Oryctolagus cuniculus: one gene and its partners. The protein of the gene in region 1 interacts with the protein of each later gene in a pairwise test. Links are inferred from orthologs where the notes say so. Each region holds a gene or a part of one and is shown in the gene's direction. Other genes may lie near its edges.

Region 1 (4,131 bases):
CCCCCCATGGTCACTGCCCAGGCCCCCCCCCCCCGCACCCACTTCCCAGCCCCCCATGGTCACTACCCGGCCCCCCGTGGTTACTGCCCAGGCCCCCCCCCCCGCACCCACTTCCCAGCCCCCCATGGTCACTACCCGGCCCCCCGTGGTTACTGCCCAGGCCCCCCCCCGCACCCACTTCCCAGCCCCCCATGGTCACTACCCGGCCCCCCGTGGTCACTGCCCAGCCCCCCCGCACCCACTTCCCACCCCCCCATGGTCACTGCCCCTGCCCCACGCCCAGCCGGGGCTCTCGCCAGCCCCGGGAGCAGACAGCAGGGCCCAGCGGCCTCTACCTGGGCACCAGCCGTCGGGCCGGGCTGAGCTGTGCTGTGGAAAGTTCCATCAGGACGCAGCCGGGGGGTGTGTGAGTGCCTGGCTGCCGAGACCCCAGACCCCAGACCCCGGAGCCCGGAGCCTGCAGCCGGGAGCCCCCCAGGCCGAGGGGGCTGCACGCGCGCTCCTCTGCCTCCTTGGGCCCGCCTGGTGGAAGGCCAGGGGTCCCTGCTGCCGGCCTGGGCTCTGGCCACTCTGGTGGGGTCCCTCCCCGGCCCCCGACTCCACTGCCCACTCTTCCGGAAAGCGGCCAGCCCCAGGGGCAAGGCCTCCCCCGCGGGAGTGCGGGAGTCCAGGGCTGAGGGTTCGCGCGGGAATTAGTTCGTTTGTATTCACATCCGCCGCGCTGCGGTGCTTTCTCTGAACGGGGGAATCTTCCTTGGCTGGGCCACTCCCCAGCGGGCGACCCGGACCCAAGCCCTGAGTCCCGCCTGCCGGGCGCCCGCCTAACGGCTCTGCGGGGCTGTCCGAGGACGGGGTGGGCCCGAGCTCCAAGCTGCCCGCTGGGCCTCCCGGCCCGGTTCTCCCCGGGGTCCGGGGTCCGGGCGGCGGGCGCGGGCGGAGACGCCCACCCTGCGGGGCTCCTGGCGCGGCTCTCACACAGGGCCCGGGTGAGACGGCGTCCGAAAAAGAGCCGGACAGCACCGCGCGCGAAGGGCCCTGGGGCGTGCGGGACCGGACTGAGCCAGGCGCGGGGGAGGCCTCGGCCGGGCGGGCGCACACCTGGCCCGCCGCACCTGCCCGCCTGCTCCCCCGCACGGGGCTCGGAGCGCGGGGCCGCGCCGGCCGCTTCCCGGAGCGCCCCCGGCAGGCGCCGCACCTGCACCTGCAGCGCCCGCGCCGCGGGGCCCGACCCCGCGGAGGACGGCGGGCGGGGCCGCGCCGAGAGCCCGAGCCGCCCGCCCGCGCCGCGCGCTGCGCCGGCAACCAGCAGACCAACCGCGCAGGCCCCGCCCGCGCGCGCCGCCGCGTGTCCCCGCCCGCTCGGTCGGTCGGAGCGCGGCTCGCGGCGCGGCTCGCACGGCGGCGGCGGCGCAGGCGGCGGGCGGAGCAGCGGACGGCGCCGAGGCCGCCCCACGCGCCGGGCTCGCGGCGGCGGAGCGCGCGGGACTCGCGGGGCCCGCGGCCGCCCGCGCTTTTCAATGGGCAGCTCGCACTTGCTCAACAAGGGCCTCCCTCTCGGTAAGGCCGCGCGCGCTTCCGGCCGGGGCGGGGGCGGCGACGCGCGCGCGGGGCGGGCCGGGCGCGCGCCCGTGGGCGCCGGCTTTGTGTGCGAGTGCGCGTGCGCGCCGGCGGGCGGGGGGCGGGGGCCGCGCGCATGCGCGGGCTGCTGCGAGCGAGTGCGCGTGCGCGTGCGCCGCGCGGCCTGGCCCGCGCAGGTGACACAAAGGGGCCCGCGGGCCTCGGGGCGGCCCCGCAGCCCTGGCCGCCCCCGCCCCGGGCTCCTGGGCGTGGCGCTGCGGCCCCGGCCCCGCGAGCGCCCAGCGGGCTGCCCTGGGGCCCGAGGCCCGAGGCCCGGAAGTGAGCACGCAGGTCGTTCCCCGGGGCGGCGGGGAGCCCGAGGCCTCGCGGCGCCACCTTTGTGTCCGGCCCGGCGGGCGGGCTGCGGCCGGGGTCGCGGGGCCCGCTTCTGGCCCTCGTGATGAGCAACCCCGGTTAGGGCAAAAGGGGGCTCCCGGGGGGCCAGGCCCGGCCACAGTGGCCGCGTCCCGCCGCCGACCCGGCCTTTCCGGCCCCGAGGCCCCCACTCTGGGTCTGCGCGCGGACAGCGGAGGGCTCGAGTCCCCCGGGCTGCTGGCCCCCGGCCGGGGCTCCGGTTCCCGCGCTCTTCCCTGCCCTGCCCTGCACTTGGCCTGTGTGCCCAGTCCGGGACTGCGGGGTGGGGGCGGGTGGGGCGCTGCGCCTGCCTCTGCGGCCCTGCACACCGGCGGCTGCCCCCAGCCTGGGCTGGCTCTGCCGGGCCGGGGAGGGGACGGTGCTTGGTCTCCCCAGCGTCTCCTGACCCCACAAGCGCGCTCAGCAGGTGCCGGCCGGGCCTCTCTTCCCAGTGTTCTGTGTCCTGCCTCGGGGCACCCGGGACTGGGACTGTCCCATGGGCTCAGCCCCGGTTCTGGCCACATCCCGGGCAGTAGGGGCACCGCTGGCCCTGTCGGCCTCTGAGGCCGCACGGTGGACCTTGGTAGCCCGGGGTTTGGCCGTCTGGGCAGCGTCTTGGTGCCTGGTCAGCATGTCGTGGCTGGCGTCAGGGTCCTGTGCCGAGGGTTTGTCGCCTGCCCTTGGGTCTCTGGCCAGGAGCCTGCAGGTGGTGCCTGCCCCAAAACCCCTGTCCCCTTGGTCTGAGTGCCCGCGGCTCCGGCCTTCTTGTGCAGCCAGGCCTGGGGGTCTCAGCCCCCTCCGTGTGGGCTGCCAGGAAGCAGGGTGTCCACGGTGGGGAGGGTGAGGGCTCCCGCGGCGGGCACCCCACGGTGCAGGCTTCCTGCAAACCAGACCCCCTTGGCTGCTGGGCTGGGCTGGGGCGGCCAGAGCCCCGTGCACGTGCCTGGTGTGGGTGCTGGGCGGGGTGGGGGCCACCTGGCTGCTCCCTTGCCGGCTGTGGTATGGATGCCACAGGGGCCCCACTGTTCTCAGAGCCAGGTTTCCTGTGGGGTCCACTCGTCCCCCAGGAGGGCAAGCAGGGGCTGCCCTAGGCCCTCCACCCCAGAGTGGAGCCTGTGCGGCCTTCAGGACACGCGTGTGGTGAGCGGGCCCATAGCTCCCTGGGGGGTGGACCATGGTGGCAGATCTGCACCTCCCGTGGGACCCTCTGCCTGGGGTGGGTCCCCCTGGCCCCTCGTGCCTGCTGCCCACGGGCTCAGTTCCCACCCGGCAGCGGGTGGCTGCATGTCCCCTGCCAACACTGTGTGCAGGCCTGGTGGACGCTGGGGTGGCCGTCGCAGGCTCTTCCGTGTGTTGAGCGGGAGCCAGGCCCCAGAGAGCCGTGAGGGGCAGCAGGGGGTGCCCTTGTGGGGCAGGAGTGGGGCTGGCCGCACTGGGCTTTGTGTTCAGGGTGTGGGGGTTGTCTTTTTTTTGAGATTTATTTATCTGAAAGGCGGAGTTACAGAAGAGAGAGGTTGAGGGAGGCAGAGAGAGAGAGGTCTTCCATCTGCTGGTTCACTCCCCAGTTGGCCGCAATGGCCGGAGCTGCATGGATCTGGAGCCAGGAGCTTCCTCCGGGTCTCCCACATGAGCGCAGGGGCCCAAGCACTTGGGCATCTTCCACTGCTTTCCCAGGCCACAGCAGGGAGCTGGATGGGAAGTGGAGCAGCCGGGACTTGAACCGGCGTCCATATGGGATGCCGGCACTGCAGGCAGCAGCCTCACCTGGCGTGGGGGTTCTTAATCGGGCTGCGGTGAACCCCAGTTGCTGTGAGGCGGGGAGGGTGTGGTGGGCGTCAGGTCTGAGATGTCTCGGAGCTCACAGGCAGGGATGCGGCAGGGGTCACTGGTGGCTGACCTGCGCCAGCGTGGTGCCGGCCGGGACCCCGTGTCCCTGTGCCTGTGGGACCCCTGAGCTGCCCTGGCGCTGTCCATCCGGGGCAGTTTGACCACTGAATCCGTGTTGCTGCTGCTGCGGGGACCAGGCTGTGCGGGCGGGAGTGGACTCGTCCCCCCGGGCCAGCTTGGCCTAAAGTCCCTGCGAGTACGAGCTCCCCCCGCAGCCCCGCCGTCCCCGCAGCGCCGACTGCCTCGGGAGTGGCATGGCACGGCCCGAGGCCA
Region 2 (3,500 bases), on another chromosome or scaffold:
GCCCACGACAGAGCCCTGGGCTGCCGGCACTGAAGAGAGAGATGGAGGGGGAGGGGCTCAGGGAAGACTAAGAGCAGCCCATGAGCTGTGAGGTCACCAAGGCCCAGGGAATCCCCGGAGGAGAGACAGGAGCCGGCCATGGTGCTGTGCTGCTGGGAGAACAGGATGCGTGTGGGGTACGTGGCGTGGAAGATGGGAGGGACAGCGTGGCCGAGTGGAGAAGCCAGGAGCCAGCAGGTGGGCTGGAACGTGGAGGCGGGGGTGAGGGAAGTAGAGAGAGGTGGGTTTTGAAGGAGCACAGTGGGCCCAGGTGGGGAGGCCCAGCCGCACTGCTGTGTCCTTTGCTTTGTATATTTGAGCGAGAAGAGTGTTCTTGGAGTGGAAACTGGAGAGAGAGAGAGAGGAGAGAGGGAGGTTGAACAGACAAGGGGAGAGAGGGGAGGACTCCGAGCCAGGTCATGGGAGGGGAGGAGAAGGGTGGGCGTGGATGCAGGTGGGGGTTCAGTGACTGCAGGTGGCTACCTGGTGGCTCGTGTTGCCTTCTCGTCTGCTGAGGGGTGGAGCTGGGAAGTGTGCAGTGGAGGCCTGGGCGGGGCAAGCAGTCTGTCACCGGGTGCCAGGAACCGAAGGATGGGCGTAGGGGTTGCGCAGGAGGACACTTGCACAGGTAGCAGGGAGAGCCTGGTCAGGACTCGGAAGCCCGCCCTCCCCGGCCCCCAGGTGAGTCGCAGAACCTTTGAGCCTCGGTGCTCGTTTTCCAAAGGAGGCAACGACAAGGCTCCCTCGCGGGGCCGTGCAGATCTGACGGAGAGTGCGTGACGGCAGCCGCGGCCTCGGGCGGCGTGGGGCAGGGCAGTCTCAGGAGGCCCTGGTGACCAGAGACGGGCCTTGTTTCTGTAGAGGAGAAGCCTTTCCTTTCCTCTGATGGTTGGAGTCCACTCAGTCTTTTTCCAGTTCTTGGCTGTCTCATTTCGCTTCATCTCAGGGGAGGGGAAATGCTGTTATTTAATAGAGAAACAGCTGAGGGACAAAGTTTACACTCATCCGCAGCTTCACTGGCGAAGTCAGGGCCAGAACGCAGATCCACAGCTTCCGAGGAGTGGCGTGAGCACGGCGTGCAAGCCCTGGCCCCGTGGCTCTCCGTTCCTCCGTAGCACCCAGCTCTTTGCTTTGTCACCTTCCCCTTCCACAGGCGTGGGTTGCCAACTATGAGAGACCCCGGATGAACGCCAACTCCCTGCTGGCCAGCCCCACCGGCCTCAGCCCCTACCTGCGCTTCGGTTGCCTGTCCTGCCGCCTCTTCTACTACCGCCTGTGGGACCTGTATAAGAAGGTGAGAGCAGTGCGGCCTGTGTGCCTTCCCCGCTTGCAGCCAAGTGGCCCTGGGCCTCCTGCGTTTGCCAGTCACCCTGGAAAAGGTCCCCATCCTGTCCCTGGAGGTGGGGGCCTGTGTCATACATCCCATAGTCCAGAGTGGGTGGGGAAGGGTCAGTGCGCAAGGGCTGGCAGAGCCACGCGCCCAGTGAATCACTGATCTGCATCCATCCCCTGTGGTCCTGTGGGGCAGAGGAGGCCGCGGGGGGCCCAGAGGTAGCAGGTCCACTGGCTGGGGGTGGATGTGCACCAGAGCCCCAGCGCGGGACGATGGGCAGGTGAGGCTGGAGCCAGTCCTGCACTGAGCACAGCTGCCCTCTGGGGCTGCCCCCAGAGCACTGAAGGGACTGTCCAGGGGCTGCACCTGCCCATGAGCGCTGGGAGAAAGGCTCGAGGCAGGGGGAGAGAGTTCATGGGGGCCCGGCCATGGGGACCAGCAGCCCACAGGCATCCCTGGAAGGAGAAGGGACAGGTATCCAGTCCCCAGTCAGCGGCTCTTCCTTGGGGCTGCGTTTCTGACGTTTCCCTGTCCTTGCCAAGGTCATGAATTCAGGCCACTGGTAGCTTGGCAACTGGGGGGGGGGGGTAATCTTACGGTTTTAGGAAAATCATTATTTGCTTAGAGATCTGATCCCTTTTGTAAACAAATTATTATTTTATTATCGATTGATAGATTTGAGAGTCACAGGCAGACACAGAGCCCCCATCCCCTGGTTCACTCCCCAGAAGACCACAACGGCTGAGGCCGGGCCGGGCCAGAGCCCAGAGCCAGGAACTCAGTCCAGGTCTCCCAGGTTGGGGGGCAGGGACCCAACCCCTGGAGCCGCCACCTGCCACCCACTGGGGCGTGCGTTAGCGAGAAGCCGCGGTTGGGAGTGGAGCTGGGACTTGAACCCTGGCACTAATATGGAAGGCAGCCATCGCAAGTGGCATCTTACCTGCTGCACCTCTCGTTCCTGGAACTCCTGGAGGCTGGTCTCTTAACTCCTCCATGGACCCAGCCTGCGTGTGCAGCCTGTTTACCCCATGTCTGGACCGAGCATTTTATGCACTCTGATCAGAGAACTCCCCTTGACTATCTAGAAAGTGCAGCCAACCACCGTGGCCAGTCTTGGCAGGCTTGATTCCTGCCCACCCTGCCTGGCTTTCTGCAACCACTCTGGTTTTTTTGTTTTTTTTTTTTTAAATATCATTTTTTAGACTTACTAACTTCTCCCTGTAATGATTCCCCTTACATTCCCTACACATCTTTTTTAAAAGTTTTTTTCTTTTTTAAAATGATTTTATTTGAAAGGCAGAGCGAGAGAGAGAGAGGGAGACACGGAGATCTGCCATCCACTGGTTCACTCCCTAAATGGCTGCAGCAGGCCAGAGCCGGGAGCCGGGAGCCAGGAGCTCGTCCAAGTCTCCCGTGTGGATGGCAGGGGCCCAAGCACTCAGGCCATCTGCTGCTGCCTGCCAGGGCCGGGGCTGAGTCTGCAGGTGCGCTGCGCCGTTTCTTCCAGAGGACAGGCCCTCCGCCTGTCTAGGAGGTTTGGAGTCTGTAGGGACCTGAGCGGCCTGGCGCAGCGAGCCGGGCAAGCGTTCACGTGTCCGTGCCGCCCCCGCCCTCAGGTGAAGCGGAACAGCACCCCTCCCCTGTCCCTGTTTGGGCAACTCCTGTGGCGTGAGTTCTTCTACACGGCAGCCACCAACAACCCCAGGTTCGACCGCATGGAGGGGAACCCCATCTGCATCCAGATCCCCTGGGACCGCAACCCCGAGGCCCTGGCCAAGTGGGCTGAGGGCAAGACGGGCTTCCCCTGGATCGACGCCATCATGACCCAGCTCAGGCAGGAGGGCTGGATCCACCACCTGGCGCGGCACGCCGTGGCCTGCTTCCTCACGCGCGGCGACCTGTGGGTCAGCTGGGAGAGCGGGGTCCGGGTGAGTGCCCGCTCCCTCTGCCGAGCCCAGCTGTGGGCTGCCCTCTCCGGGCGGGGGGATGGCGTGGGAGCCTTCCGTGGCTGGCCCTGGGCCCCTGGGGGAGAACCGTGGCCGCGGATCCCCGAGGAGTCTGCTCGTCCCCGCCCCCGCCCAGGTGTTCGACGAGCTGCTTCTGGACGCCGACTTCAGCGTGAACGCGG
Region 3 (3,500 bases), on another chromosome or scaffold:
GCCTGGGGGAACATGGCAAACTGCAAAGCACTTTTTACATTTTTTATATGTTTACATGTCATCTACTTGAAAGAGCAAGAGAGAGTCGGGTGGGAGGATCCTCCATCCACTGGTTCACTCCCCAAATGCCCACAACAGCCAGGAGCCCAGAACTCAACCCAGCTCACCCACATGGGAGGCTGGGGCGCCAGATGTGCATTGACAGGCAGCTGGATTAGAAGTGGAGCAGCTGGGACTTGAACCGGCACTCTGATGTGGAACGCGGGTGTCCCAAGCAGCCATTTAACCCAACCGCGCCACGCCGTCCGGCCTCAGAGCACTTCTGCCTGATAGCAACAGCCAGGCGGTCCCCGCGCCAAGCTGGGTGCAAGAGCTGCAGGAGAAATCATCGCTTCACTGATAGGAAAGGTGCTTCTGGAATTCCCAGTTTATGGATGAGGATCCTGAGGCCCCGAGAAGCAAAACAACTGCCCTGGGTCCCACAGCCACCCGAGCGCGAGCGCGGTGCTCAGGGGCTGCACCCGTAGCCAGTCGCCGGCCGGCGGTCACTTCCTGAGCGGCGTTCTCAGTGCCAGAGGGACAGCTGTGAGCCCAGGCTCGGCCCAGAAGCCAACGGTCTTGTGTGAGGGTCCCCGTGAGGAGGAGTGGTCTTGGAGGCACTTTTAGAGAAAAGCCTGCCTCGTTTTCCCCAAATCCCCGGTGCACTGCTTTCTGCTGATCTCGGACACCCCCTGGGGCCCTCCCGGTCCCTCCTGAGGGCAGTGATGGCCGAGGTGTCCTGGGTCCGAGAATCAGATCCCTGACTCATTTCCTGAGGACGCCGGCCTCGTCCCAGCCTCACGCCCGCCCGCTGCCTCTGCCCCACCCTCCCTCCTCTGCCGGTGGGGGAGGGCAGGTGCCAGCCCTGCAGCTGTTAGCGACAGAGGACCCCGTCTCGATCCTGGCACACCTCACAGGCCACCTCCACGTGACCTCCGGCCTGCCATCCCGCACATGTCCCCACACAAAGAGCCCGGGCGCTGGCGCTGCGCTCAGCTGCCAGGGTGGGGAGGGCGGGCGGTGGTGAAAAGCTTGCTAGAAAGGCCAGGGGCGGAGGCAGGAGTCACCCAGGTGATGGGAGCCGGTCCCCAGGGACCCCGGCCCAGGCCCACAGTGAAAGGTTACTGCTAATTGGCAGGCTCGTGACGGGGCCGCATCTACTTAGCACTCCCCTCCCCAGAGACGTCCGGGACGGGCTTGGCACAGCGTGTGATTTGAGAGCCCCCGCCCGCCCAAGTCTGGCACAATCTGTCTGAAATCGTGAACATGGAGCCTCTTGGCTCTTTAATTTGTATTTGTGTCGTCGCCGTTCTCTGCCCATTGTTGCTGGTACATTTCGTAGCAGCCACCCTGATTCTGGGACCCCACCCCACCCCGCCCCCACCCCCACCCTGGGAGGAGGCGACAGGGGGTCAGGGAGCAGCGCCCATCCCTGCCCCCCCTGACCTCGGGGCCTCGGCCCCCCCACTCCCACCCCGCTCACCCCACCGTGAGCCCTGACACTAACACAGCTTGTCCCCCTGTCGCAGGGGGCAGATGGCCTGTCGGAGCCCGAGGGCATCTCTCTGAAGCGGGTCGCTGTGGTGGAAGATTTCTTTGACATCATCTACTCTATGCATGTGGAGAGCTCAGCTGAGCCAGGCAAAGCCCCCAAGCACGCCGGGCAGAAGAAAACCTACCGAGCGGTGAGCGCCTCCCGTCTCCGCCTCTGCACGTGGTCCCGGCCTTGGCAGGAGGCCGCGGGCTCTGCACTTGGCGGGTGGGTGGGTGGGTGGGGGCTTGAGGAAGCAGCCTTCAGGGATCCCAGAGCAGAGCATGGGGCAAGGACACGGGCAGCTGGAGGCCGCTCCTGGGCCAGGGCGGGCTCTGTGGGCTGAGCAGAGAGAAGAGGAGAAGGTTGAGGGCGTGAGAGGAGGGGAGAAGATGGGGGCTGGTGGGCCGGCTCTGCTCGCTCCTCTTCCTGGGGGCCCTTACACCTGCCTGGGGGGAGGGGTGCAATGCAGGCAGGAGACCCATAGTCAATCATCAACAGCAAATGGCTTGGTATTTGCCAGCACCAGGCCTGTCCTAACTGCTCCTGGCGGCTAGCTCAGCCCTGTGACGTCAGCACTAGGAGTTCCCTGGGGGAGGGGGGAAGTCTGGGGACCTCCCCCACACCCCACGAGGAGATCACAGAGGGATGTGGGCTGGGGAGGCTGAGAGCAAAAGCGAGATGCAGGAGAAGCAGAAGTGTTCCCAAGGCCAGCTTCCAGAGAGAGCAGGAGCCTGGCTGCCCAGGCGCTCTGCAAAGGCACCTCCAGCCACGGAGACACAGTGCTAAGCCCCGCGGGCTCCATGGAGGAGGTGGCATGGAAGCTGAGCGTGGGTAGGCAGGAGGGAGCAGAGACAGCCACTCAGGCATGGCAAATGTCACAGATGTGGGAAGTGGCAGTTGTGGGGACTGTGGCCAGAGCAGAGGCCCCCGCTGTCCCCTGCAGGAAGGGCCTGCTGTGTTCCCATCCTGTCCCCCTGTTGACCCCATGTCTGAGTCCCTCACCAGGGCTCGGGCACAGCTCTGAGCCATTGGTCCGGTTCCTACCGCTCAGCCGGCCAGGCCAAGCTCTTGGTGTTGATGGTCCTGGTTCACACTCGGGGAAACTGAGACCCAGAGAAGGAGCAGCCTGTCTGAGAACACGCAGCAGCTGGGTGGCAGCCAGCCAGTGTCGCAGGGCCCCCTCCATGCCGCTGGGAGCCCCCCCCCCCATCGAGTGCTTTGTCTAAGCAGCTTCAGCCCGCGGCAGCGGTGTCGGTGTGGTCTGTACTTCCCCCACATGGCCTGATGTTTTAAGAACCCAGCGGCCTGACTGTCCCCTGTTCTCGGAAGATAGCCTTGGCCCTCATCGGGTCTTCAGGATGCACCCCGCCCCCCATTGTGCCCCAGGCCTCAGGGAGGCAGGGAACTGGGCCACGGGAGCATGGGGGTGATTCCACACGCACCCCCTGCTTTGCCACATGTGTCCCTCAGGAAGCGACCTGTGGGGAGGGAGTTGTGAGGGCTTTTACACCCCAGGGTCCGAGAAGAAGGGAGGGGTACCCAGGCTGGGGCCCATGGAGGCCCCTTGGTGTTGAGGAGACCCCTGCACGTTTTCTCAGCATTAACCTTGGCATTGATCTGGGCACCTAGCACACGCCGGCCTCTGCCCTCGGCACTGCCCACGCACCAGCTCCATGCGCCCCAAGGTTTCGTGTGTGAGGCCAGCACTGTTGCCACGGCCATTGTAAGCTGAGAGATGGGAAACCTGCCAGGGTCACACGCAGCCAGGCCACAGCCCCAGGCTCTGCCTCGCTCCACCCCGGCGACTTGGTGTTGTCCAGGCAGGTGGTCTCCCTGGCCCCCTTAGCGCCCAGCATGGGGCCTCAGCCACGAGCACGCCCTAGGGCTTGGGGTCTCCGTGCGCCGAGGAGGGCAGGGCTGGGCTGCT
Region 4 (4,250 bases), on another chromosome or scaffold:
TCCCTTGCAATAGGATCTTTCGAACAAAACAGTCCTTAATACGTGCTACTTTGGTTTCTTAACAAAAAGAGGAGACAATCAGGACAGTTGGGTAACTTTCAGCTCATAACACTATTATTTAATTTCTCAATGAATTGATATACTGTCAGTAGGGCTAGTTTCTACCAAGAGAGTGACAATTACACTGCTTACAGACTCTCTACCCCAGCTTCAAAAGTGAAGAAAGTGCAGAGGGAAGCAGCAAGAGACAGTCCTGGCCCAAGGTCAACAGGCTAAACTTGGTGATGGCCTTCTTGCTGGCAGCATCTAGAGGCAGCCTGCACATATATTTTGGGAGCCAGAGAGAAAGCAAGTGGGAGATGGGAGAGTTTTAGAGGTAATTTATTTTTGTTGGAAAGGAAAATGATGACATTTCTTAGTTTTATACTTTCTTATACTCTTTTCATGAAGAGTCCAACTTTTTACCCATTGACACTGGTCCAAATGCTATGACACGGCAAAACCGAGAGCATATAAACTTTTTTTCTTTCTTTTTTGGATGACACATTTGACTTTGCCTACTGTTGGAGGCATGTGATAATTCTCCGTGGAATTCAGTAACAAACTTACTGAAAAATTATATTACAAATAAGCACACTTTACTTTCTCTGTGACATAGTATGGTTTCATCTACACAGACAATAAAGTTTTATTCCTTGCACATACAATAAATGGTCGATGTAACTGTAAACGTTATCGTCAGTCCCGTGATAGTGTGCATTTTACTGATAATCTAAACATAGTAATTCCTGTACAGCGAAAGGGCAGGGTAGCATCGCTTTCTGCCTGATAAGCATACAACCCCACAGGTGCCCAGCCTCCCTCTTCCTTAAGGAAAGCATCCAGGAGAAAACACCGACAAGCCTGCTTGAACTGCCCAATGGTAACTTATGGCTCACAGCGAAGTAAGAGCGATGCAGGGGAAAGTCCGAGAGGCAAATGAACACTCCCTGTGGCACCTGGACCCCGTCTGGGAAGGAAAGGTGATAATCAGGGAGGAGCCCCCTGCCATGGTTCAGTTCACGCTGCACAAGTAAAAGAGCCACGATCTGCACCACCCCAGAGGGCTTCCCAGGGCCCATCGCCCCTCCCCGGAATCTCAAGGAGAACGGCGCCCCCGCCCCGCACAGAAGCGGTTATCAGTGGCGCCCACTGCCCGAGAAAGGGCGGAGGGGCTACCGCCCTCCTGGACTACCCGGGAAGCTGGGCGGGTGCCGAGCCCGAAAGGATGCGGGGCGACCAAGGGGACTGGGGGGCCCCTGCCAGCGACCGCAGCCCGCCCCGCCCGGGGGAGCGGCGGCTCCAGGTGGCCAGGCCCGGGCGGCGCGCGCGGGGCGGCGGCTCGGCCCCGCAGCTGCTCGCCCGCGTCCCCACCCCCTCGCCGCCCGCCCGCCCCCGGCGCGGCCCTGCCCGCCCCCTCCGCCCCCTCCCGCGGCGCCGTGCGCAGACTCAGTGTCTGGAGGAAGATGGCGACAGCCGAGAAGCAGAAACACGACGGGCGGGTGAAGATCGGCCACTACATCCTGGGGGACACGCTGGGGGTCGGCACCTTCGGCAAAGTGAAGGGTGAGGACCCCAGGGGAAGGGTTTGGCCCCGGCCCGGGAGCCGCGGGACTCCCGCGTTTCGCACCTCTTCCTCCTCCCGGTCCTCCCTGTCCCTAGATTCCCGGGCTCGGCAGACCCTCTCCGGGCTCTGTTCGGAGCCGTGCCCGAAGCTACCGAGCGAAGTGGGCGCTGCTCCCTTTGCGGGTGGGAGTAGGGTGGGGACCAGTCGCCATGGCGACGGCGCTGCGGTCGGTGCGAGGGAGGAGATGCCGAGGTGCGAACTTTCCCAGGTGGCGGCGTCCGGAGCTGCCCCGCGCGCTAGGTCTGCAGCGTGGGGTCCCGGGGGTCTCGGCCAGGAGGCGGGGGAGGCGGCCTCCTGTCCGGCTGGTTGTGCTCTTGGCTCCACGCCAGCCCATCGCTTTCCTGGCGGTCCTCCGCCTTGTCCGTATTTCCGTCTTCAGCAGGCTAGGGAAAGCATAACGGCCCCTGCTGTTTCCTGAGCATGAGAGATGTTCTCCCAGTTGAGGTTGCTTTGAGTATAGCCTGAATAATTTTTTTTTTAAATCCATTTCGTCCGAAAAGATGACTGACCTTGTGTAAAGCAGTTAAGGGGAGCTGGTGCGACCCTTGGTTTACCTTACAAATGCAGACTCCCGACCTTCAGTGTTTCTGAATTACCGGTTTTGCAGTATCTGCATGCTGAACCTGGTAGGCTACTGTAGATGTTGCCTCTAGATAATATTTATTAATTAGTAGAGTTCGTTTCCTTTTATTTTGGGAAGATATTTATTTTTAATGTTTAGAAATTGATTTTTATTTACTTGGAAGACAGAGACAGACACATAGGTCTTCCATCTGGTGGTTCACGCTGCAAATACCCAAAATAGCTGAGGCTGGGGCCGGGCCAGGCAGAAGACAGGAGCTGGGAACTCAAGCAGGGTTTCCCTCTTGTGTGGCAAGGACCCAAATACCTGGGCCATCAGTTGCTGCCTCCCAGGGTGCACATGCACAGGAAACTGGAGTTGGAATTGGAACAAGAGACAAACCTAGAGACCTGGTGAGATGCAGGTGTTCTAAGTAGTGTCTTAACAAAACCCTGTCCACAATATATTTACATTTAATAAACAGATTAGTGCACACTGTTTAAACTTTTTTGTTAAGTGTGGAACTTAGTATCTCTCTCTTTTAAAGATTTATTTATTTATTTCAAAGAGTTACAGAGAGAGGTCTTTCATTCCCTGGTTAACTCCCCAATTGGCTGCAACGACCCGGGCTGTGCTGATCTGAAGCCAGGAGGCAGGAGCTTCTTCTGGGTCTCCCATGTGGGTGCAGAGGCCCAAGCACTTGGGCCATCTTGGACTGCTTTCCCAGGCCACAGCAGAGAGCTGCATTGGAAGTGGAGCAGCCGGGTCTCAAACCGGCACCCATGTGGGATGCTGGTGCTGCAGGCCAGAGTGTTAACCCCGCTGTGCCACAGTGCCAGCCCTGGAACTTCTTACCTTTATGAAAAGCATGAATATTCTGCAAGTAATAAACTTGCTCTCTAATCCAATCCTGATATAAAAAGTTTAAATTGCAAATTTTGTGAGGCATACATTCTTTTTCCTTACAAATATGACTTTGTTATTAGGGATGTGGAGGAAGTTTGGAACTGATAAGAATAATTATTGCATTGGCATTGGATAAATAAGAAGCCTTTGACTAGTATATACTAAGTTTTTGGTAAATATTTGATCTGGAAGAAAAGGTTTATGAAAGAGTATACAGTAAATTAACTGAGCCTTGTTCTGCCAGAGCTAAGTTAACATCCTCCCGGCCCCCCCTCCCCAATTTATTTATTTTCATTTTTTGAAAGTGAAAGATCTTGATCATCCATCCAATGATTCACTCCCTGAATGGCTACGACAGCCATGTCTGGGCCAAGCTGAAGCCAGGTGCCATAACTTAGTCTTTGTCTTCCATGTGAATAGCAGGGACCTGATATTTAGATCCATTACATGCTGCTTCCCAGGGTGTGCATTAGCCTGAGCTGGAATTGGAAAGGCAGCTGGGACTCAAACCAAGGCACTTGACATGGATGTGGGGCATCCCAAATAACGTCTTAGCTGATGAGCCAAGTGCGTGCCTCTGTTGCCGATTCTGAGCCATAGGTGTGGAATATTGTTGTATAACCCATGGGGATGGGCATTAACCAACAAGGTCAGTAGTATAATAAAGTAAGGAGCAAACTCCAATATGGAGTAGTAACAGCCATTAAGGTGGGTCTACATTAGGACAGTAACATGTTTCTGTTTTCTTGAAGTTTGTTTTTTTTTTTTTTCTGTGCTGTTTCTTGTTAGTGATTATAAACAGGTTTTTAGTTTGCCAGTAGTTGTAAGAAATGCTCAGTAATGTCTCTGAAATAGTGAAAGAGACTTTGTTGATGTCCTCACCCCTTTCTCAAAATTCTTTTTTGATTGGGATGTTCATCATTCTGCTAAAAAAGACCTGAACAGAGTCAAGTCTGTTTTCCTATTTGTTAATTGGCTTTTGGCACAGTAGATGGAGAAGGAATAGACATCTTCTGTTTTCTGGAGTTGATCTTTTGTGATGTGGCTGTGATGTGAATCTCTTCAGTGACTCTGCTGTTCCTTAAACTTCTCCCTGCAAATGTGCCTCTCATGAAG
Region 5 (4,084 bases), on another chromosome or scaffold:
TCGTCCGGCAGGCGACGACGAGTGGCGAAGGTGGCCTGGGACCCTGAGCCGGCGCCGGGCACCGCTCGGGCCGCCTTCCTGGCGCAGCGGCTTCCTGGGACGCGCGCGGGCCTCGGCCCAGAGTAGAATAAAGAGGAGCGGCCGCCGGCGCTGCGCGAGGAGGATGGGAACTCCTATTTCCAGCACCGTGGCACGCGGATGGAAATCCTGAATGGAGGAACCGCTGACTTCCTTTGCCTGGGAAAATCGTCCTGAGGAACTCGTATCTGGCGTCCCTGCGCGGCGGAGGGGGTGTCCGTGACGTGGCGGGAGGGGAAAAGCGACAACCGAAACCTCCCGGGTGAACTGCAAACTGTGACCAAGCAGCGGGGGAAACGACGCTTCTGTGTATTCTCATTTCCTGCCCAGGGTTCCAAGCATCTCTGTTATAAACTTACTTCTATGCCGGGCACCCCGGTGCCGCAGAAGCCTGAGGAGTGCTGGCCGGGGCCGGGTCGCCATCCCGGAGACCCGCGGCCGGCGGCCTGCCTTCGTACCCACGCCCTCCCGGAACCCGTATCTGTTTGGGGCACCGGCGCCGACCCTGGGAACTACCGGCCGAGCCCTCTATGAAGGCGCCGCTCCTTGCTGGGACCTAACTCCTAGAACCTAGATGCGGGGCTGCAATTTAGCCCCAGTGCACCTGAAGACGTGCTATTTTAACGCGTTTTTAAAATTATCTTGCTTTCCCTCCACCCCCTCGTCTTAAAAAAAAAATCCCGTAAAACGGAATTTTGATAGGCTTAAAGACATGACAGGTAAGAACTTTCTGTTTTTCTAGTTCCTTCCCTGCCGGTCACCCGGAAGGCCGAAGCGGAGCAAGGAGAGCCCAGGGACGCGTGTGCCCTGCGGGGCTTGCAGGCGCTCCGCCCGGCGGCTGCTTTCGGGAGCGGCGCAGCCCTCGCTCCCAGACCGGCGGCCGAGGAAGCTTCCCGGGCGCGCGCGGGGAGGCGGCGCTGCGCTCCCACCTGCCCTGCCCGGGACGCAGCCCGGGGTGAGGCGTCGAGGGAGCGCCCCGGGTCAATATTGAGATTTTTAATAAACCCAGGAATAGGATTTTAATTATTCAGAGCCCAGCTCCTCTGGGCCAAATGCTGTTGGGATGGTCCTGGACACACAATATTAAAGAGCCCCATCACCGAGAGGACGGGAAAAGCGTCCGAGCCCTCCGCTGCTCTTACGAATGAGCCAGACTGGCTAGCACAGGGCATTGATTGCCGGTGCCCAACTGGACCCTCCTCCCCGCTGCCCGTTCCTCCCCCCTACCCCACCCCCCCACCCCCAACCCGAGGCAGGCTCCCGCGGCGGCCGGGACCTCGCGTCCCCGCATCGTGGCCAGGGCTGCATCTTTCATGAGCCCGGGGTGAACAGGTGCGAAGTGCGCTGGGAGCATCCGGCCGGCGGCGGCCGAGCGCGGGGAACATGGAGAGCGAGCGCGACATGTACCGCCAGTTCCAGGACTGGTGCCTCAGGACTTACGGGGACTCAGGCAAGACCAAGACGGTGACCCGTAAGAAATACGAGCGGATCGTCCAGCTCCTCAACGGCTCCGAGTCGAGCTCCACGGACAACGCCAAATTTAAATTCTGGGTCAAATCGAAGGGCTTCCAGCTGGGCCAGCCGGACGAGGTCCGCGCGGGAGGCGGCGGAGCCAAGCAGGTGCTCTACGTGCCGGTCAAGACCACGGTGAGTGACTCGCCTGCCTCTGTTATTTGTCTGCCCGAGCAGCCCGGCGGGGCGGGAGGAGAGGGGGGAGCCGAGAGCCACCGTTGGCTCTTGTGCCCCCACCCTCCCCAACCCCCTCCTCAAGTCGTCCCCGCTCGCAGCAGCCAGGCGCGGTTTCCCCCCGCCGTGGCGTCTTTGTGGTCCTTTATTTTAAAGCGGCAGCGCGCACCTCCGCAGCCCCTCCGCCCTCCCCGCCTCCCCGGCTCGGGGACCAGCCGCCGAGCCTCCTAGCCCCGGCCGGGCGGCGTCCGGCAAGCGTCCAGCGTCTTCGGGCTGGGCCATTGTCCCACGTCCTTCGCTGGACGCCTGGCGCGTGTGCCACCGCCGCCACCGCGCGCATAAAAGGCCAGGCTGGAACCCTAGCCTCACGCTCTGATAACAGACGATGCTGATCGATAGGCGACAGTGTCTCCTTATTGGCACAAAGCCCGCGGGTGGCGGTCGCGGCGGACGAGGGGTTTCCCCCGCACGCTGTCGGGGTTTATTGTTAGCCGCCGCGCGTGAGACGCGGGGCAGCGCGAGCTCCTCGGAGGGTCCCGGAGATCGCGGTCACGACTGTTTAGATTGCAGATGAGGTCCTGGGGATGCGTCCTCCCCGCCTCCCTCCCTCCACAGCACTCCCCCCCCCCCCATTCCTTTCCTCACTTCGCGGTTCCACAAATAAAGCCGCAGCTAGATGATGAGCAACAAAGAGAGATGGGTTTGAGCGCGATCAGATGGGGTGTGTGTGTGTGTGCGCGCGTGTGTGTGTGTCCCTCTTTCTGGGGTGGCTCCAGTCTCATGGCCACAAAGCTCCAGCCTGGGCGCCACTGGAGGTGACTGGCCCTGGGAGCTGAGTCTGGCTCAACCTCACACGCAGATGCCTGTGGGGCTGGGGAGCCGCGGCAGCGTGGATTTGCAGATGAGCCGCCTAAGACCTTTCTGCATCGTGCCACGGTGGGTGCTCGCTTGGAGTAGGGGTGGGGGAGGCTTCTGGCATCCTTTGTATTTTTGCCTCGCGGTGCTGTGGTTTCCTGAGCATTTGCTCCTTACCCCCACCCCGCCCCTCCCTCACTGGCAACTGTTTCCTCGTGCAGGATTCCTGGAGGATGCTAGGAAGGAGAGGGCTTGGACGCCAGGCTGTGTCTGGCGGGGGTGCACATTCATTTAGAAATGGGTTGTTCAGAGCGGTATTTGGAGGACTCTTTGAGGTTTGGAAAGCAGCTGGTGGCTTCCTGAGATTAATTAAGAATATTGTTTGGAGCTTGTGTATTTCTTTGGAAATTCGTATGAAAAATGGAACATGGAAATAAAGGTAAAATGGAAACACTTGAAAGTTCTGTCGCTGTTTTAATGTTCTACTGTTGGAAGGTTTCTTGGAGGTAGATCTGTAGATATACTGTCTCTCAGAGCATATGGCACTGTTAAAGACAATGCTGAGATTACTGTCTTGCTTTACTAAATAATGAGGACTAGCCTGGCATGAATTAGAACTGAGGCTTATTTACATCTGGATGAGCCAGAGTCTGTTATAGAGAATGGAGTGTTTTTGATTCATTTGTATTGGCAGTTATGTAGAAAAATAATTCATTGTTAGAATAAATCAGAATTCAAAAGAAGAATGTATTTTTCTTTGGGCAGACCTAGCTAACGGAGTGAATAAAATAATTTAAGATATGTTTACAACTTTTAAAACTAATCTCTTATATGTCAAAAATAAACATATCTAGGAAGTTTGTTTTTCATTTCTTTTATGTTAAACTTAGGTTCCTTGGTGTAACTGTCAGATAGCTTCACACATATGTCTTGGTGCAATAAGCTTATACTTGTATAGTTTTGACTACTCCTATATTCACACATATGTCTGTATAAAAGATTAATTTTTAAAATTGTATATGATATAAATTCTGTGCTTTTTAAAAGCACTAAAATAATCCTGGGTTCCAATTATTTAAAACAGCATTCTCGTGCTGTGATACCCATATTTTCATTTAAAATTTAGTGCAGAGTTAAAGAATTACTGACAAGGCATCCTATGCAGAGACAACTCCAAGGGTGAAGAGAAAGTAAAATGTCTTTCTCTGTTCAGTAGAGTCCCTATATTTATGGGAGAAAGAATAATTCATCAGGTGATAATCTTAGATAATAGTTTCCGTGTAGTATTTAAGAGCTCTGCTCTTCTTTCAAGCCAGTGTTGAGCTGTTAAAGAGGTTTTTAATTCATGAACTCTTCCATTGCTCTTTATGGAATTTTTCTACTGCTCCTGACAGTGTTTCAGGCTCCTCCTCCTCTGAGAGACAGCCAATCATCATTTCAATGAGTTGAAAAATAAATAAAAGAT
Region 6 (3,956 bases), on another chromosome or scaffold:
TTGCTTACGTTATTAAATAAAAAGATATTTGTAAGTATTGCAGGGGTGAAATTATATAAATATTTTTATTAGCACTGGATTGTAAGAGACACAGATCCCACAAGTAGATGTGCATGAATGGACACAAGTCAATATACACGCACACAAAAAGATAGAGTTATGCATGGTGTGTGTCTAGATTTTCTCGGCAGACCCAGCCATATGTTTCTTGTCTCAGCGGCTGCCCAGCGAATTCATGCATGTGGCTAACAGTCCTAGCAGGCAAGAAGCCATATAAACAATGAACATAACTCATGATGAAACAAAGAGGCATGGTAATGGCATATTGGATAAGGAACCATTCAACTCAACTTTTTAAGTGAGCAATTTTGATAAGTGAGTAAATGATATATTGACAGAATCAGCCCACTGAGAAGTTAGATGGTGAAAGATGGCATGGCATTTCTCATGATAGGATGCCCTGGCCACATCCTCATCCCGGACTTTTGTCTGTAGTGTTCTTCATTGCAACCTCTCTGGAGCCAGCAGGAGAGACCCAGGGGTGTCAGAGCTCACAGACAATGGTTAAATACTGTGAAGTAGTTTCTTTGTTTTGTTTATTGCAACAGGAAAAGAGCTGGTTCTAGCTTCAAAGGAATAAAGAGTGTGCTTTAAATTCTTATTCTCTTTCTGTAATAAATGAATTGTATACTTTCTGTGTACTGTGGGAGATAGATTGGGACGCATAGTAAAGCTATAGGATTTCATTCATATGAACCATTCGTATGTGTCAACACTAAGCCTTACATTTCACCTGATATTTTCTCCTGAGAAAATACCATCCACCTGTTTAATTCAATGAGAAAAATAATTAATAATTGATGAGGATTTGTGGAGTTTAAAATTGTCAACAAGACAGTCTTAATACAACAGCTCTGAAGTCACTGAAATGCTTTCCTCTCTTCTGTTTATTTACCCTTTCTATAGGGCCTATCATCTTGCAGCTTAGGCATGGAAGCTGCAGGCATAATGAGAGGATGAAAATATTACGTGTCCATCTAATTTTTCTCTCTCAATGAATTAAAATACAGAGTTGAGCTGCACATTCTACCGTCTGACTCTGCTTAGTTGCTGAGACTGCCTAACGCCTTGTGGACAACATATACAGAGTGAATGATGTGAAAGAAAACAGGAAGGTATGATACCGCACGTTAATCTGAAAATGATGCCGTTGCTTATTTATTTGTAATATATTTGTATATATAATTTATTTGTAATATATTTGTAATATACAAAAATGCACATATAGTAGTGATAGTTAATGCACATAATTGTTCTTGTCCTGCTTTTATTCTCTTTTTTTTCTCTTAAGAGACAGACAGAGCTCCCACCTGCTGGTTTACTCCCCAAATGCCTACAGCCACACAGGCTGGGTTAGGCCAAAGCCAGGGGCCAGAATTTCAATCCAGATCTTCCATGTGGGTTGCAGGTTCCTAGTTTCTTTCGTCATCGCCATCTCTCTCCAGGGTTTGCATTGGCAGAAGGCGGGAATTGGGAGTGGACCCAGGACTTGAAGCTGGGTGCTCCAGATGGATGTCAGTGTACCAACTGATGGCTTGATGGCTGCATCAAATACCTGCTGCCCCCATTCTCATTTTTGAAGAAACTTTCCTTCTCTTTTTTTTTTAAGATTTATTTATTTGAAAGTCAGAGTTACACAGAGAGAGGAGAGACAGTCAGAGAGAGAGAGAGAGAGAGAGGGAGAGAGAAAGAGAGAGGTCTTCCATCTGATGGTTCACTCCCCAATTGGCCACAACAGCCGGAGCTGTGCAGATCCGAAGCCAGGAGCCAAGAGCTTCTTCTGGGTCTCCCACATGGGTGGAGGGGCCCAATGACTTGGGCCATCTTCCACTGCTTTCCCAGGCCATAGCAGAGAGCTGGATTGGAAGTGGAGCAGCTGGGTCTTGAACTGGAGCCCATATGGGATGCCGGTGCTACAGGCCAGGGCATTAACCCGCTGTGCCACAGCACTGGCCCCAAAACTTTCATTCTTATCATGATCTTGTGGTAATGAGTTCCTGAGACCAACAGTCATTGGATAGCCCAATGAAGGTTATCAAGGTCTTTCACAAACAAGCAGCACATGGAATGGTTTATATATCCAAACAATGATTGGCAAGTTGACAAATGCTTTATAATTATAGCCTTGAGGACAAAATGATATGGAAGCACCAGATATCTCAGCTTTCTCATCTGTGCAATGGGAATTTGTTTACTCACAAATACTTTTTGGATGCCTAGTGCATGCTATGCACATTTGCCACACAAATGGTCTGCAGCCTTGAACTTGATAGAAAAATCCTCTGCCCTTGCAAGAGCTCCTGCAAGGGGAGGTGGCTGCAGAGGGCAGGATACACTATATGCAACAGTAACAAATAACATACAGTAGTAGATTAAATGGTGATAAGTGTGACAGAGAGGAAGAGAGAGAGAGAGGACTAGGGATGCTTGTGGAATTTGCAACTTGTAAGAGTTTAGCAAGTCTCACCTTGAGAAAGAGAAAATGATAGTAGTGCTTCCTGCCACCATTACAGGAATTATTATATGTAAAATGCTTTGAATAATGTGTAGGACATAGGAAATTGCTAATATATGTTATTTTTTAAAAAGAGGTAGTGACATTAAGGGTTGTTTTAAGGAAGATTGTTGCTTGCTTTATAGTGATTTTATTTGCCATGGCCATTTTGTTGTTGTTGTTGTTGAAGTGAGGATGGAATTCCATTTGAATTCTATATAAAAGGTTCAGAAAACAAACTTGTGAACTAGGTAAAAATAAAGAGCTGGAAGAAGTCTTCATGAATAAATTTTTTCCATATTTAGATTCATCTTTGTCTTAAAAAAAAAGAATGTGAGGAGAGGGCAGGAGAAAATAAGAAATGAATGATAAGAAGAGAAGGAGGGAAAGAGAGAGGAAAGAAAGGGTTTTTTCAGAGTCTATTTTAAATACAAAACTGTTTAACATCATAGAGATAATTTTCCTTTGTTTGAATCATATCTCAGCAGATACATCAGTTTAAAAAAGATGCATGCTAAATTTAGTAAAATATTAATCTTTTTTTATGAATTGAATCAACTAAGTTCAAATGATTTATTGAATTAAACTATAGAAACTTTGAATAATTCCTTTGGGTTATTTTTCTTGATAAATAGCTTTGTCATACCGGTAGGTAACTATATTTTTAATAGTAAACAAATAGTAAACAGTAAATTATCTGTATCAAAGAAATTAGCAATTTTAGCTAAAACAAGAGGAAAATCCATCCTTATAGGATATTCACAATATGTCAGGTACTTTGGAATTCTCATTCTTCCATCGAAAAGTTTGATTACTTGTGAGTTGGGTGCTAAGTTAGGTGCTGAGTTTGGCACTGGTGGGATAGCTGATAAGTGGTCACACAGAATTCTTGTCAGTCCTCCTAAACAAGATCTCATTAGTTCTCCACTTCATTGTGAAGAAAGTGCCCAGTTGTAGGAGGAGGAAAACTGAACAAGAACAACTGAGCAACCTGCCAAAAATCCTACAGTGGAGTGAGGAAACCCAGAAGCACTGCCCGTCTTTCCAGGTGTCAGTCACCAGCTCTGATACTGCTGCCTTGCCAACACTGGACACGAACTACAAGTGCAAACGCAGTTTATGTGTTGAAAGACACAGCTTTTCTTTTCTAATTGACACTCACTTACCCAGTTTTTAAAAAGTAATGTTCATTTTTCAAAAACATGTAAATTGATGGAGTGGAAAGAGGAGCCGTAACGGACCATGTAACTGGATGGAGCTACACTGGGATTCCACATTCTGCCTTAGGTAAAGCACACTCATGGATTGATCCAGAATGTACTACATTGTGGTTTGTATACTTTAACAGTTGACTGAACATCTTGTGTGAAAAATGCATGTTAAAAAAAAACACATAATCTTG
Region 7 (4,224 bases), on another chromosome or scaffold:
ATGTAGGGGTGGGCCTTTGATCTAGTTGTTAAGATGTCTGCATCCCCCATGGAAGTATTTGGGTTCGAGTCCCAGTCCTGCTCCTGATTCCAGCTTCCACCTAACGTACACCCTGGGAGGCAGCAGGTGATCGCTTGAGTATCTGGATTCCTGCCACTCATGTGGGAGACCCAGAAAGAGTTCCTGGTTCCTGGCTGTGGCCTGGCTCAGCACCGCTATTTTTTTTAAGATGTATATATTTATTTGAAATGTAGACTTACAGAGAGAGAGAGAGAGAGAGAGAGAGAGAATCTTCCATCTGCTGGTTCACTCCCTAAATGGCTGCGATGACCAGGGGTGAGCCAGGTGGAAGCCAGGAGCCAGGAGCTTCCTCCAGGTCCTGCACGTGGTGCAGGAGCCCAAAGACTTGGGCCCTCCCAGGTATACTAGCAGGGAGCTGGACTGGAAGTGAAACAGCCTGGACTTGAACCAGAGCCCACATGGGATGCTGGTGCTGCAGCTATAGCCATAGCCCAACCTGCTGTACCACAGCGCCTGCCCTGTTATGGACATTTAAATGGGAGTGAACCAGTAGATGGGACCTCCGTCTGTCAGTCTGCCTCTCGGATGAATATAAATAATTTTAAAAAATATATAGTGTTAAGAGTGAAGCAGAGACAAAGGTAGCCCTCTTTAAATGAATGCAAAGCTAACGGCAGCATTCCTAAAGAATACAGGTGACATCTACTTTTGCCCTGTTATTAAGATGAAGAATATTCTTTTAAGCAGAAAAAGACTACAAACCTCCTCTCAGCTTTCTACCCTCTCACGGGTCTCAGAAAGGCAATGGTTTCCTATCCCCAGGCAGCTGGTGAGACGGCAGGGTGCACAGCTAGGCCGCACCTGCCATGCTAGCCAGGAAGAGCATCCTGAACAGAGAGAGGGCAGTAGCGGACACACACTTCAGCCAGCGGCTAACCTTCACTGCCTCCTTCAGTAGGGTCAGCCTACGATTAGAAGCCTGTCAGCGGTTAGCGGCCCATCCCACACCTCTTTTTTTTTTTTTTTCTTTGCCCAAATAAAAGGACCTCAGGGATTCACCAATTTCTATTAAAAAAGAGAGAGAAATCAAGAATACGTATTGATTTAGTGCCCCTGGGTAAACTATGAAGCCTGTGCCGACTTTTCCCAAGACCTGGATTGTTTCAGAGCGACAACCAAAGAGTTAAGCAATGCTTCAAGCCAGTGCCAAAATACCCTTGGTTTATTTTACTTGAAAACATTCTAAGCATGTTTGCCTCCCGAAGGCATCAGCAACAGAAAAGCACCATTTCCAGAAACGGATTCCTATCCCAACACTCTTCCCCAGCCGGAATGACTGGAAGGACACACCCTTCAGCAACCCCCACGCGGCACAGAGTGCCCGAGAATATTCTAGAAGCCTCCCCGTGAACGGCTGTTTCTCTACAAGGAGGAGACATGAGCTTCCGCAGAAGCAGCAGCCTCGGGAAGGAGAAAGGCGTTCTGCCTCTTAAAGTGCTTTTATACTGTCACGGGTTTACTAAGAGGCGATTTTCTAAAGTTTTAAATCTGTGGGCCGCTGGGTATCACTCCGCCTTTTTTTTTTAATCACGAAGTACCTCCCGTCTTGGGATGGCGGGAATATCGAGTTTGAAAAATTAAATGCCTGAGACTACGGATATTCCAGATGACATGCATGCAATAGCACTCCATGAAGAATGTATTTAACCCAATCCCTTGCACCTACTTACCAAAGGCACAGAAATCCCAACGTTTGCACTGCACCGAAAAAAAAAAGGGCGAGAGAATGCAAGGGTCTGGCGGCAGTTTTTGGGCGTTTCTCGGGACGCACTACGTGCCGGTTTGCTACAAGTGTATCCACTGTCCCCAGCACCAGGGACTTGTGGGGCGCAGTTCACTGCTGCGCCACTTGCTCCGCGGCTCCCCGAGGTGGCGGTTGCACGATGAAGGCAGACGCTGCTAAACTGGCCGACAAGATGCTGCGCGCCCCCAAGTGCTCCAGGTGCCGCAACCACGGCTTCCTGGTGCCCGTCAAGGGCCACGCGGGAAAGTGCGGCTGGAAGCAGTGCACCTGCGACAAGTGCTGCCTGATCACCGAGCGCCAGAAGATCATGGCCGCGCAGAAGGTGCTCAGGAAGCAGGCCTCGGAGGAGGAGCAGGAGCTGGCCCTGGGCCCTCAGGCGCCTGAGCTGGCCGCCGGGGCGGTGGCTGGGGCCGCGGCCGCCAGCCAGGGCCCAGGCCTCCACCTGCTGCCTCCGCCGGCGGCTTCGGGAGATCTCCGGCCGGAGCCCGAGGGCCGCGCGGCTGCCTACTTTTGCGAGAGGCCGCCGCGGGGCCCCAGCCCGGGCCCGAGCGCCTTCCAGCCTGTCCTGGGCGGCCGCGGCCACGTGGCGGCCCAGCTCGGGCTGGAGGCAGCAGGCCTGGGCGGCCCTGGCCACCTGGAGCTGTGCAGGCCGCTGCGGCCCCCGCCCAGCCCGCCGTTCGCGGATTTCGGTAAGATTCCCGCACCTCGCCCTGCCTTGGCGCCGCGTCCGCTCCTCTCCCGGCTGCGGGCTCCCTGCTCCCCGAGCTCGTGGCCCGAGACCCGAACCCACAGAACAGGCCGCTGGGGTAGGGGCTGGCGGGGCCTGGGGGCTCGAGGTGGGGAAGATGCTTGGCTCTGAGCAACCCTTCTCTGAACGAGGATTTGGGATGGGTGTTTTCTTAGAAAAAGCAAAAGAGAAAGGGAGATCGAAAGGACTTTTAATATTTAGGGAGTAGTTTTGGCCTTAAAAAAGATGGCTCCCGGGGCGTTTAGCGGTGGCTCCCCCTGGGGACTCCAGGGAGAGACCAGCCCTACTGCGCCTGCGCTGCTCTTCCGGCTCCTGTCTCACACGGGCGTCCTCTTCCTTCAAGACTTTCTGGCAGGTGGGCGTGGCTCAGCTATCACTGCGCCTGCGCACCCTTCCTTCCCTGGCCGGGAGACTAGAGGCCCAGCCCAGAGTACGCTCCCCGAACCCCAACTCGGTTCAACCCATGAGTGCCTGCGCACCCTTCCTTCCCTGGCGGGTGGTGGGGGGGAACTAGAGGCCCCGCCCAGAGTACTCTCCCCCCAACCCCACCCTTGTTCAATCTATCTGCGCATGCGCACCGCTTTCGGCCATTTTGTCTGGCTAAAGGCTCGTTCTCTAGAACTTTCCGGCCATACCGGGCCTGCGCACATGTCTCTCCCTTTACTCGGTCTGCACGCTCCTCCCCTGAGCTGTGCTCTGGCCCAGTGCACCTGTGCGCCTCTTCCCACCCTTTGCGTGAGAGTGGTTGCCCATGCACTGGCTTGGTCTCCAACAGGGAACGAGATGTTTTTCTCAGCTTTGTGCGTGAACTACATTGTTCTCTGTATCTTGCTGCTTTTGGTATACAGTTTCAAGTCGCCTGTGGACTTTTTAAACATATTTTTTTAAAAAACGGTTATTTGAAAGGCAGAGTTACAGAGAGGGAAAGGCAGAGACATGTAGACTTTACTTTTTTTAAATATTTGTTTATTTAAAAGGCAGAGAGGAGTCTTCCACCTGTTGGTTCACTGCCCAAATACTAGCTGCCAAAGCCAGGAGCCCAGAACTGGATTCTGGTCTCCTGTGTGGGTGGCGGGAAGCCTGGTTCTTGAGTCATCACTTGCTGCCTCCCAAGTGCGTTAGCAGGAAGCCCATGGACACCAGTCTGGGATGTGGGCTTCCTGAGTGGGACCTTTACCCACTGCAGCACCCTCACTTGTAGACTCAAGGCTTTTAAAAACCCAGCTCTTGGAGCGCACTCATTTTCTAGGTATTTTCTCTGTGTCAGTGTGGTAGAAAGGGCACAGAGCTGAGATCTGCCTGCCCTGTAGTCTTGCACAGGTTTCCCTGTCTTCACGCTAAGGGAATTGGTTTGCTCTCTGCAGTCACTTCTGCCTTCTGGGACTTTCCAAGGAAATCCAGGTCCCCAGGGAACTAGCTGTCCGATGGAAAAACAGACCTCCACAGCCATCCTAGTTGCTTACCTTCCCAGGGACGGGATGCCATTCTTGGTTTGCTCCCAGGGATCAGGCACTGAGCACTTGGCCCATGCTGGACGTCAGCAATGTGAAGGGGGGTGGGGGGTGTTGGGTGGAGCCCTCTGCTTGCCCGCAGGGCTCCTGTCTTGGTGGGAGGGACCACGGTGGTCAGATCCTGGTGGAGAGCTCTGCTG

What was found.
Region 2: the proteins of CTBP1 (region 1) and CRY2 interact in binary tests that used the Homo sapiens proteins (3 or more experiments, as listed by UniProt). The two-hybrid records come from large-scale screens. The link is inferred for Oryctolagus cuniculus from reciprocal best matches to the Homo sapiens genes CTBP1 and CRY2.
Region 3: the proteins of CTBP1 (region 1) and NOL4L interact in binary tests that used the Homo sapiens proteins (3 or more experiments, as listed by UniProt). The link is inferred for Oryctolagus cuniculus from reciprocal best matches to the Homo sapiens genes CTBP1 and NOL4L.
Region 4: the proteins of CTBP1 (region 1) and PRKAA1 interact in binary tests that used the Homo sapiens proteins (3 or more experiments, as listed by UniProt). The two-hybrid records come from large-scale screens. The link is inferred for Oryctolagus cuniculus from reciprocal best matches to the Homo sapiens genes CTBP1 and PRKAA1.
Region 5: the proteins of CTBP1 (region 1) and NOL4 interact in binary tests that used the Homo sapiens proteins (3 or more experiments, as listed by UniProt). The link is inferred for Oryctolagus cuniculus from reciprocal best matches to the Homo sapiens genes CTBP1 and NOL4.
Region 6: the proteins of CTBP1 (region 1) and KLF12 interact in binary tests that used the Homo sapiens proteins (3 or more experiments, as listed by UniProt). The link is inferred for Oryctolagus cuniculus from reciprocal best matches to the Homo sapiens genes CTBP1 and KLF12.
Region 7: the proteins of CTBP1 (region 1) and DMRTB1 interact in a two-hybrid assay, tested with the Homo sapiens proteins (4 studies listed by BioGRID). The link is inferred for Oryctolagus cuniculus from reciprocal best matches to the Homo sapiens genes CTBP1 and DMRTB1.

The regions. Positions count from the first base shown.
Region 1 is NC_091433.1:418,961-423,091, reverse strand, and holds the start of CTBP1 (C-terminal-binding protein 1), read left to right. Parts: upstream 1-1,331; 5' UTR 1,332-1,557; intron 1,558-4,131. UniProt on the Homo sapiens protein: Corepressor targeting diverse transcription regulators such as GLIS2 or BCL6. Has dehydrogenase activity. Involved in controlling the equilibrium between tubular and stacked structures in the Golgi complex.
Region 2 is NC_091432.1:20,094,738-20,098,237, reverse strand, and holds part of CRY2 (cryptochrome-2), read left to right. Parts: intron 1-97; exon of another isoform or gene 98-140; intron 141-1,192; coding exon 1,193-1,333; intron 1,334-2,988; coding exon 2,989-3,300; intron 3,301-3,454; coding exon 3,455-3,500. UniProt on the Homo sapiens protein: Transcriptional repressor which forms a core component of the circadian clock.
Region 3 is NC_091442.1:25,330,439-25,333,938, forward strand, and holds part of NOL4L (nucleolar protein 4-like), read left to right. Parts: intron 1-1,568; coding exon 1,569-1,724; intron 1,725-3,500.
Region 4 is NC_091445.1:66,055,818-66,060,067, reverse strand, and holds the start of PRKAA1 (5'-AMP-activated protein kinase catalytic subunit alpha-1), read left to right. Parts: upstream 1-1,450; 5' UTR 1,451-1,505; coding exon 1,506-1,605; intron 1,606-4,250. UniProt on the Homo sapiens protein: Catalytic subunit of AMP-activated protein kinase (AMPK), an energy sensor protein kinase that plays a key role in regulating cellular energy metabolism.
Region 5 is NC_091441.1:43,331,502-43,335,585, forward strand, and holds the start of NOL4 (nucleolar protein 4), read left to right. Parts: upstream 1-1,284; 5' UTR 1,285-1,461; coding exon 1,462-1,725; intron 1,726-2,446; exon of another isoform or gene 2,447-2,700; intron 2,701-2,794; exon of another isoform or gene 2,795-3,046; coding exon of another isoform or gene 3,047-3,058; intron 3,059-4,084.
Region 6 is NC_091440.1:38,561,890-38,565,845, forward strand, and holds the start of KLF12 (Krueppel-like factor 12), read left to right. Parts: upstream 1-1,156; 5' UTR 1,157-1,175; intron 1,176-3,956. UniProt on the Homo sapiens protein: Confers strong transcriptional repression to the AP-2-alpha gene. Binds to a regulatory element (A32) in the AP-2-alpha gene promoter.
Region 7 is NC_091438.1:119,539,930-119,544,153, reverse strand, and holds the start of DMRTB1 (doublesex- and mab-3-related transcription factor B1), read left to right. Parts: upstream 1-1,424; 5' UTR 1,425-1,718; coding exon 1,719-2,514; intron 2,515-4,224.